Drosophila melanogaster: one gene and its partner. The protein of the gene in region 2 interacts with the protein of the main gene of each other region in a pairwise test. Each region holds a gene or a part of one and is shown on either strand. Other genes may lie near its edges.

Region 1 (5,125 bases), on a different chromosome or scaffold from region 2:
CCGCCAAGGAACGGGAAGTATGCGACATTTAGCCGTGAAAAGAGCTCATGAAAAGCGGGGAAAATTCTTCGGCCGTGCAAAAGCCCACACAAAATGAGTTGAAGTCGCCCTTTGGGAAAAGCACGTCTACAAGAAAAAGAAAAGGGGAAAGGGATGCGGAAAATGCGGAACAAGGTGACTTGCCCCTCGCGGAAACTTCAATCAACTAAAGATTTCTCTCTATGAAAAACTTGCAAATTACTCAAATTCACCAAGCACTATTGAAATGCAGTTGAAGAAGTCCAAATAATTTGTAAATTATTAGAAAGTTTGACGAAAATTGCATGCAACCTCTTGCGCAGTAATTCCCAACGGATTTAAGTGATTTCCATTGACAGTGACACATTCTCTATGGAATTCGTCACGCACTCGGAACTAAAAAGTTACAAGCTCGCAAATGTATTTGGATATCTAAATAACTAGCTTTTTGAGAATATTTTAGAAAGTTAAATAATAAAATCACTTCATTTTTAATTGGTAATATTTTTCGAAATGTAAATTAGCCCATTAAACTAAATAAATGATTTGTGCCAACTGTCAGAAATTGAAAACGTATTGTTTGCTTGTTAGGGAATTACGCCGTCCAATTGGTTGTAAGTAGCGACCCCTTCACTTAACCCCCGATTAACCCACGATTCCCAAGCGAAGCCCCCAAAGATATGCAACAGTTAACAGTCGGACGTCTAATTTAATTGGCTTAGCTAGAGCTGTGGGCTTAGGGCCCTCGTCTTTGGGCTTTGGAAGCGGGGCTTAGGGCTCCGCCACTTTACAGTGCTGACAACCGACTTGGGGCATTAACCTCCTGATGGCCAAGGGGTTTGCCGAGCGACTGGGTCGCCGAAAGCATCGTAAAACGCTGCGTATCAAATTATCGTTAGATTTATTGCCAGCCAGCCAGCCAGCCAGCCAGTTGCCTTCAATATGCACTTTTTATGTTAGCAACCGAACAACAGAGAATGTTGTTAAAAAGGGAAATATATATTTTCAAGTAGGAAGAGTAGGGCTGTCCAGATGACAGTTGGATTGCATAGCACTCGATTTATTCCACTCTCAGTACCGCGGATTGCTAAGAGCAAGGGATTTGATAATATAAAATATATAAATATGAATAATCATATTACATATGAATGCACGAATTAATGCAGCAATAAATGCTTAAAATATTGCAATCACTTTGTTCGTAATGTAAACATTAATATGGTTTGCATTTTTAATACTAACATAAACATGCACAAATTAATTGCATGGTACATAAACACTTTTGGGGTATATTAGCCGAGCAGTATCTCATGTTATTCTACAAAAGAATAATAGTAAGCTTTTACGTCAGCCTAAATTAGCATACACATTGCTGTAAGGATATTCATGATTTTATTAATTTATTTTCAATACGAAAATTTTCAGAACGAAATAAACGAAGTGCTAGTACCCTCCAATTTGTGAAATATTGTTTTACTCTTGTCTTTTCTTGAGGCAATATTTTAAGAATGTTGTCCTTAAGTCAGCTTTGTTGTTTAGAATAATACTGATCTATGTTTTGCTTTCCCTTTACCCAAAAACTGATATATGTACATGGGCTGGTAAAAGGCAGCGATACATGATTTAATAGAGGCTTTTCCTAGTGATACGGATGCTGTTTGCCCAGATTCCATCTGCCGTTGGCCATTTTGCAGTTGATGCCAATGCAGTTTTCAATTATGCATGCGTTTCGACAGGTGGCGCCCTGAATCACTTGGCATGCGTCATGAATTTTTCATGATGTCGGCAACGCCTGCTCCTGCGTTTTTCAGCATTTTCCGATCACCCTCCTTCTGCATTTTCCAATCTGCAAGTCCCCGCCACCTTTCGACTGACACACACGTTTAGCTTGCTGGTACGGATGATTGGATCGACATTATGCAGCTTTTTCATCTCGCATTGGAGCCAATCAGTCAGTAGGAGTGGATGGGGTGTAATGGGCCGCGGGGGCGTGGCTGGTGCATTGTTAGCTGCGTTGCAATTCACCTGGCTGATTACCGAAACGCTGACGGAGCCCCGACAATTGTGAGTGCGAATATGAGAAAATGCAGCCATGTGGCATAAATATTAAGTATACGACGTGTGGGCCGCCTGCAATTGTCCTTCCCATTATTGAAAGTGACAATGGAACTATTATTGCTGGCATTCATTGATAGTATAAGCCCCTCCTCCCACTTGTTTGCCGTTCATACAATATTATCCCTCTAAAATACCAAGAATTTTCCATTAATTGTGCCTTTAATCTTTCATTAAGCAATTCCTACCTCTCATAATAAGTATGTTTGCTCATTTTGAATAAAGGAATATATTTGTTGACATATAATCAAGTAACGTGTACACCAATTAATAGTAAGAGACAATAACCCTAAGCTCTCATAATTAATATAATGTTGGTATGCTTCAGCATTTACTGCAAATTAAAATGTAGAAATGTGAAATGCATAAGTCCTGCATTTCAAATTAATGATATACTATATTATAGATTTATAACATTACCTTCTAATTTTGTAACACAAAACTAATATTTACATGTTAAAATGGTACTTTGTGGCTTAAAATATTGTTAATTTATGTTTCATAGCCTTTACTAGATTACCGAAGATCCCCATTTTATTGCTATTCATATGTTTTGTTATTAAGTCCCCTGTTTTGATTTGTGGTCACAAAACCTAGGCCCCTTTTAAATGACAAAGTAATGGCCATGCCAAGTGTATCCGGGTATTAGCCAAAGGCATTGGCAGGACTTAACCACGCGTGGGATAAACGTTCAAATAACTCAGACAAGACTTGGTGAAAACAAGGATAAAGACTCTCGAGGGGCTCACAAAATCGTAAAAACGCCGTATGTGGAGTGGAAATCTTTGTTGCAATAATTCGTATTTCTGGACCAGGGCAAAAATAGAGTGTAATGAAATGAAAGATTCATGCTAATGGCTTTTGGCGACTTGGCCCATCTAAACTATGCAAAGTGTTTTCGCCGCAAAACGGAGGCACTGTTTATAAATAATAAATCGAACGGGTATGACAATCGCTCACCTCCAAAGAGGCCAGACAACGCCTATCCTTCCGCACTTTCAAATTCAGTTCAGTTTGCCCGAAAGTTGGCGCACTTTCCTAGCGTTCTGTGCGTGCTTCTCGTACCGGGCCAACGGGGCGTATGAGCGACGGCGAAGCGCAGCTACCAGGTATCGAATATCAAGTAGCCGACTGCGGAGGCGACCTGCCACAAGGCGACACAAAAGCGAACTGAGGCGCCCATCCGGCGACTGGTGGCCGCCACAGCCACATGGAAATGATGCTGCCACCCGAAGCCGTGCAGTTCGTACAACTCGGCTCCGAGCACTCGGATCTCGGATCTCCGAGTTGCGAGTGCCCCGCAAAAAGGATGCAAGGGAGCGGCGGACACAGTCGTGGCAGGATATCCCGCTGTTTGGGCACACACACACACACACACGGGGGCAGAAAAGTCGAGCGTGGGCAAGTCGAAAACCATTAATTTAAATATTATATTGTGATTACATTTCTATATTTATATTTTTTTTGTATAACAAGTTGGAATATACTCACGTTTGGAATTTCATTTTTCGCACAGTAAGCTACCCGCGAAGCTACACCAATTTTGCGTCCACCACCGTTTCGAGGCGTCGACTTGAGTCCTGTCTTTTGGATAAAGTCGACACCTGACCGCCACTCTGTCCAGGGAAAGTCCGGCTAATTACCCTAGTGTCCGGCCGTATTTGGCGGTCAGGCGGCAGTGTCCTTGTGGTCCTTCACCCTCGCCTGCCGTTGAGTGACTTCTTACATCTCCGTGTGATATCATTTGACACAAAGTCAACGTTCAGGTGAACTCAATTTGCACCTGCACAAGCTTGCCACACCTGTGCATATGAGTTTTTTATGTACATACACTGGCAAAATAGACACCTAAGAAAATTTAAATCAGTGACATATTTGGATGTAACTTATGTTCCTTACTTTTTTTTTACAACATACTTATTTTGCATTAACAATTTAAACACCGAATGTTCATACTATAATTCAATACTATTACTATAATTCACTGTGGATTTAGTCTCAGGCTTAATTTTATGTTTTAAAATGTTGTAAAAACAGGAGAACTCGCTTCCGTTATTTTGCAGTGGATTTTAGTGTGAGCTTAAGCCGCAGAAAATTGTTCCTTCCCGTTGCTCCTCTGGCGTCCGTTTGGCCCGAACCTCGGCTTTGATTTGGAGTGCTGTTTATGCATGCAACAGGGCGTATGAGTACTGGCTAATTGGCTGGAGGTGGCGGCAGGTCACAAGTCACATAGCAACAAGTGCAGCTCAACTGGCTCGCTGCTGGCAGTACAAAGAAAGTATACGGAATTAGGAAGAGCATGGAAAATTAGGTAATTAACAGTAATTGTAAAGTTACACAACTTTTGTCATTAGTTTTTAACTAATTTAAATTATATTTTTTCAAAGAGGTTTGCGCACAAACTTTTACCAAATTGAAATGATTGAAAAATTGATAGAGCATTGGATAATAGTTTTATAGTTTTATTTTTTTGTTAAGATGTAGATATTAGTTAATACAAGCAACTCCACCACTTGTCGCAGTTAAGCAACTTTGATGAAATTTTCAAATTCCACCACTTGTATCGAACTTTTCGTACAAGATTGCCACTAATAGCTGCAATTTCTCCCCCATGGAAGCCACAATATTGGACCCACTGCCTGGAAATTCAATTGAAATGCAGCTGTTGGCTCGCTTTTTGCTCGACTTTGCTTGTTTCGTGCTTATTTATTGTTTTCGGTCGCATTTCGACGACACTTCGCATGGCTTGTTGCGCTATTGCCAAAAACGATAAAGCGGCAAAAGCAAAACATTTAATTGGCGGCTGCCCCATGTCCAGCTCAGTTTTTTTTTTTTTTTTTTTTTTTTTGTCAGCTAACTTTCTTTCCGCAAAAAAGCGAACCGAAATAATGAAAAAAAAGCGGACACCCACACTCCCGCTAGCATACAAATGAAGAGTAATAGCCGCTGCCCCCCCCTGAAAACCCAGCCCCTGCTTAGTTGCTTATGCAAA
Region 2 (3,854 bases):
CACCAGGCAAGTGAAATCTCAGTTAAGGAGCTACCCTATATTTTGCTTTGGTTCCTAAAATGCACTTATGCAAAATAACATTAGTGCAGTAGACCGTCATAATTGTCATATTAGACAGGAAAATCCATAGACGACAGTCGACCCTGAAGTGTCGATGGACAGCAGCTTCTGGTTTTGCCCGGCCAGACAGGAAAGGAAATTGCTTAATTTAGCGCAAAAATTATCCACTGGCCAACGAGGCTCAATTGCCGGTCTGCCATGGTCGTTTGAGGCAGATGATAAAGCAACCCTTTGCTACGAATTTTTAGCCAGACTGATTTTAAATGACAGAAATGGTAGAAAATAAATTTAACTCACACTCATGATTTTCACACGAAAAACATATTGAATCACAAAGGCAAGGAGCGACTAGAAGAACTCTACATGCTTAGTTCAAAAAGTGACACTTCTGGAGACGATATCTCTATAACTGCACAAGCAGAAAAAAGAGTGGATGATAGCATCAGAGCGCCATCTATTGGCTGGAATGCTGAGCACAAAGATGTTCAGATTCCAAGGGACCAACTAACCCACAGGCAGATCAGCAAGTGCAATTTGTTTGAGGAATACATCAAGCTCCCAAAGAGTGAATATGGACAAACAAGCCGCATGAAGCGATTCCGATCCGAAGAGTTAGCTATTAAGCAAGGTAAGATAAATGTATAATTCCGTTCTTATTGAAGGGCTAACAGCCTTTGATATCTTAACAGAAGATCAAATCGTGGAGCATAGATCATCGAGTCTTTCGCGGCTATCGGATGTCACAATCAAGCCCACCTGCGAGGTGAGTAGTCAGACTTCGTGGACAGCAGCGGACGAGAGTAATATGAATAGCAAGGATTTGGAGGCGAAGCTGGCGGCTGTACGCGGCGGTGGTATCGATCTCGAAACGGACAAGCCCAGCAAGATCCAGCAGCACACGATCCACATCGAGGTGGAGTCGGTGACATCGGCCACGGCTATGCAAAGACCCCCACTGCACCAAAGGATGTGGCAGGTCCTTGTGCAGACGGCGGATACGATTGTCGCATTCGCCTCTATAATCGGCGAGAATTTAACAGTGGCACTCTTCATTGTCCTGTGCCTGTGGTGCCTTTACCTCTTACTAAGCCACTTTTATGGCAACTTGCAGACCAATGTCGGCATGCCGTCCAAATAATTGTAATAAGAATGATTCGTTTTGCACGTGATTGTATGAGTAAAAATGCAGTAAACAGAATTAGCAGAACAGAGTTCCAACCAGCATTGCGCATTCTAATTTATCTCAACATATTGGGTGTGCAACAACACATGATGGCGAGACTACAATATAGTGCCGAAGCGAAATCGGTTAGCATATAGCAAAAACGATCGGCCAGCGGTGGTCGACCTAGTGCATTTGGAATCTGCATGGAAACGGCATCGATGAATATCGTGTGACGTGTCGATTCGCAGGGTGCCAAAGCCGGGGCAAAGTCCACAGGACAAACTCTAATGCGCCGGCGCGGCTGTTCCGTCTGCACGCCGATCGAGTGGATGTCCTTGAGCACATCGCTATCCTTCTTCCTGAAGATCTCAACATCGTCTTCCGAATTTTCTGCGGGTTGATACAGTTATAGTAACTATACTAAATAAATGCGGGTGACATCTGGTTTCACCAAAATGAAACTGTTTATGGATTTATGACAGTAGTGTTATTTTTCAGAGTTTTCAAGGACAACTCCAAGAGACAGTTCCTATCTTTTTTTTATAGATTGGTTTATGCATTATTTTGATATTTTTTACCTTCCGCCAATGCCTTGGACATCCATCCGTACCAATTCCGTTTGTTTGCTCCGCCTAGATTCGATTTTGAATTGGTGCGTACGGTGATCGAGCTGTGTGTTGCAGCCGGATCACTATCTTCCAAATCCTCAAAACATTCGTCGGCTTGAAAGCCCAAAATATCGAAGAGCCGCTGGCAGGTGTTCTTCTGCTCGGACAGTTTGCGGGGCTCGTTAACGGCATCCTGAACCAAATCGCCAATTAGCAAGTTAATGACGATCGCAGTCTGCGGTGGCTCCCTGCACGCCATTAAGTTTACAGCGTCCACAGATCAAATTTGGAAAAGTATCGAAAAATGTCTTACAAGCTACTGAAGTCAACATAATTTCGGCATATACAAAACGATGTTGACAACTATCACACCGGAACTGAATTTATCACTCAAATTTTGTATTAGCTGGTCAAAAAAATTCCCAGTTTTCAACACAACGCAATGGATAATCATATGGATAAGAACGATGAGGACAAGAGGTCGTCATCCCCGGATTCTCAACGTCAAGTTATAATATATATGCCACCCGCCGTTGAACATGGTCATGTTGTGTATCTAAAAGATGCGAATTTAGGCGCCACAGAGACGGAGGCTTCTGCACAACTCGACCCACAGGAGCATCTTTCGAATGCGGATCGGTTGGAGAACAATCGGGTGATTTCAGAGCTGGATGATGAGCCGAGCACGAGTGCTCAGTCCGCAGTTAAGGGTCAGAAATCAGAAGATGATCAGGGTCACCAGACCAAGACAGGTATTTCAAAAATGCCAGGATCTCCTAAGCAGTTGCACAATGTATTGGAAGTAATCTGTCGCTTCTCACGCGAGATTCCTGATGCAATGGAGGGCCGGGAGCAACTCCAGCCGGCAGTGATTGTCCAAATTCCAAAATATCGCGAACTGGGAACCCAGACCGCTGAGTTGCCATCGCAGTCGCAGCGATTGCGTTTGGATCTGACCGACCTGAGACCAGATCCGAATCCACCGCCCTGCGAACGCACGCTGCACACATTCACGATTAGTGGCAACAATCTGCCGGGCAATCCTCGCCAGCTTCGTCAAACGATCTGCGCGCGAATTGGACGCTCCATCTGTGATTTTGTGGCAGCCTTTTGTCTTTGTCTGCAAGTGAACAAGGATTGTGTCTTCTGTCTGGGTTTTTTTGTGGCCTTTGTGATCAGTGCCAGCTTCCTGACTGCCTTCTTCTACCGCACTCTTACCTTCTCCTCGTCGCCGGTGCGAGTGGTGGCCAATCCGGTGAGCGGCACCATGCGCTATGAACTTGCCACACTGCGATTCAACGGAGGGTACTACTACATCTATAATAGCAGCCAACAAAAGCTTCTCTAATCTAATTGGAACTTGAGTTTTATTTTGGTGCGGGTTCTTTAGCTTACATCTTAAATGTGTGATATAATGTTCTGTTAAAAATAGTGATCGAATTCTTATTGAATTTGTAAAAACTTGTATTATAGTTTAATTTTAACAAAGACTTTTTTGTATACGAGTAACACCTTTGGGTATATTCTTGATCAGGATCCCTAGCCGAGTTGATCTAGCCATGTCCGTCCGCATGAACGATATCCTTAGATTTAAAATACATGTTCTGTTTATTTTTAAGCTGCCTCAAACAAAGTCGGGTTGCGAAACTTTGGAAATGCAAGCAAACCGCATGACCAGGTTCAATCAATGGTCTTTCAGCAGTTTTACTGGTTGTCATGGACTCCAAAGTTTGCAGTTCGCTTACGCCGCTGCCGCAATGGTACTGCCTTTCTTCGCCAACTTTTTCTTGATTTTTTTTATATATTTTTTTTTGAGTTTAACTCTAGACAAAAGTCGCTCTGTATAGCGGGTGGCAGAATGGTGCATGAGTGGATGGAGCGAGGATAGACCTTGTCCGGCTTGACTTGACTTGACAATGGGTCACACAAAAAGTCGGCCTCTGGGTACGGGAAATTGGCCACAAAACGTTCGTCGCCTGCTGTGCCAGGAGCAGGGCGGTCGCCAACTTTTTGGCAAGATG

Evidence for each region.
Region 1: the proteins of CG16853 (region 2) and CG12994 interact in a two-hybrid assay, tested with the Drosophila melanogaster proteins (one large-scale study listed by BioGRID).

What each region holds. Positions count from the first base shown.
Region 1 is NC_004354.4:17,440,715-17,445,839, forward strand, and holds the start of CG12994 (uncharacterized protein), read right to left. Parts: upstream 3,281-5,125; 5' UTR 3,094-3,280; intron 1-3,093.
Region 2 is NT_033779.5:13,540,377-13,544,230, forward strand, and holds CG16853 (uncharacterized protein), read left to right. Parts: upstream 1-2,092; 5' UTR 2,093-2,275; coding exon 2,276-3,181; 3' UTR 3,182-3,184; downstream 3,185-3,854. Other genes in the region: CG16852 (uncharacterized protein), read left to right, coding at 424-688, 750-1,198; CG9263 (uncharacterized protein), read right to left, coding at 1,299-1,615, 1,804-2,092.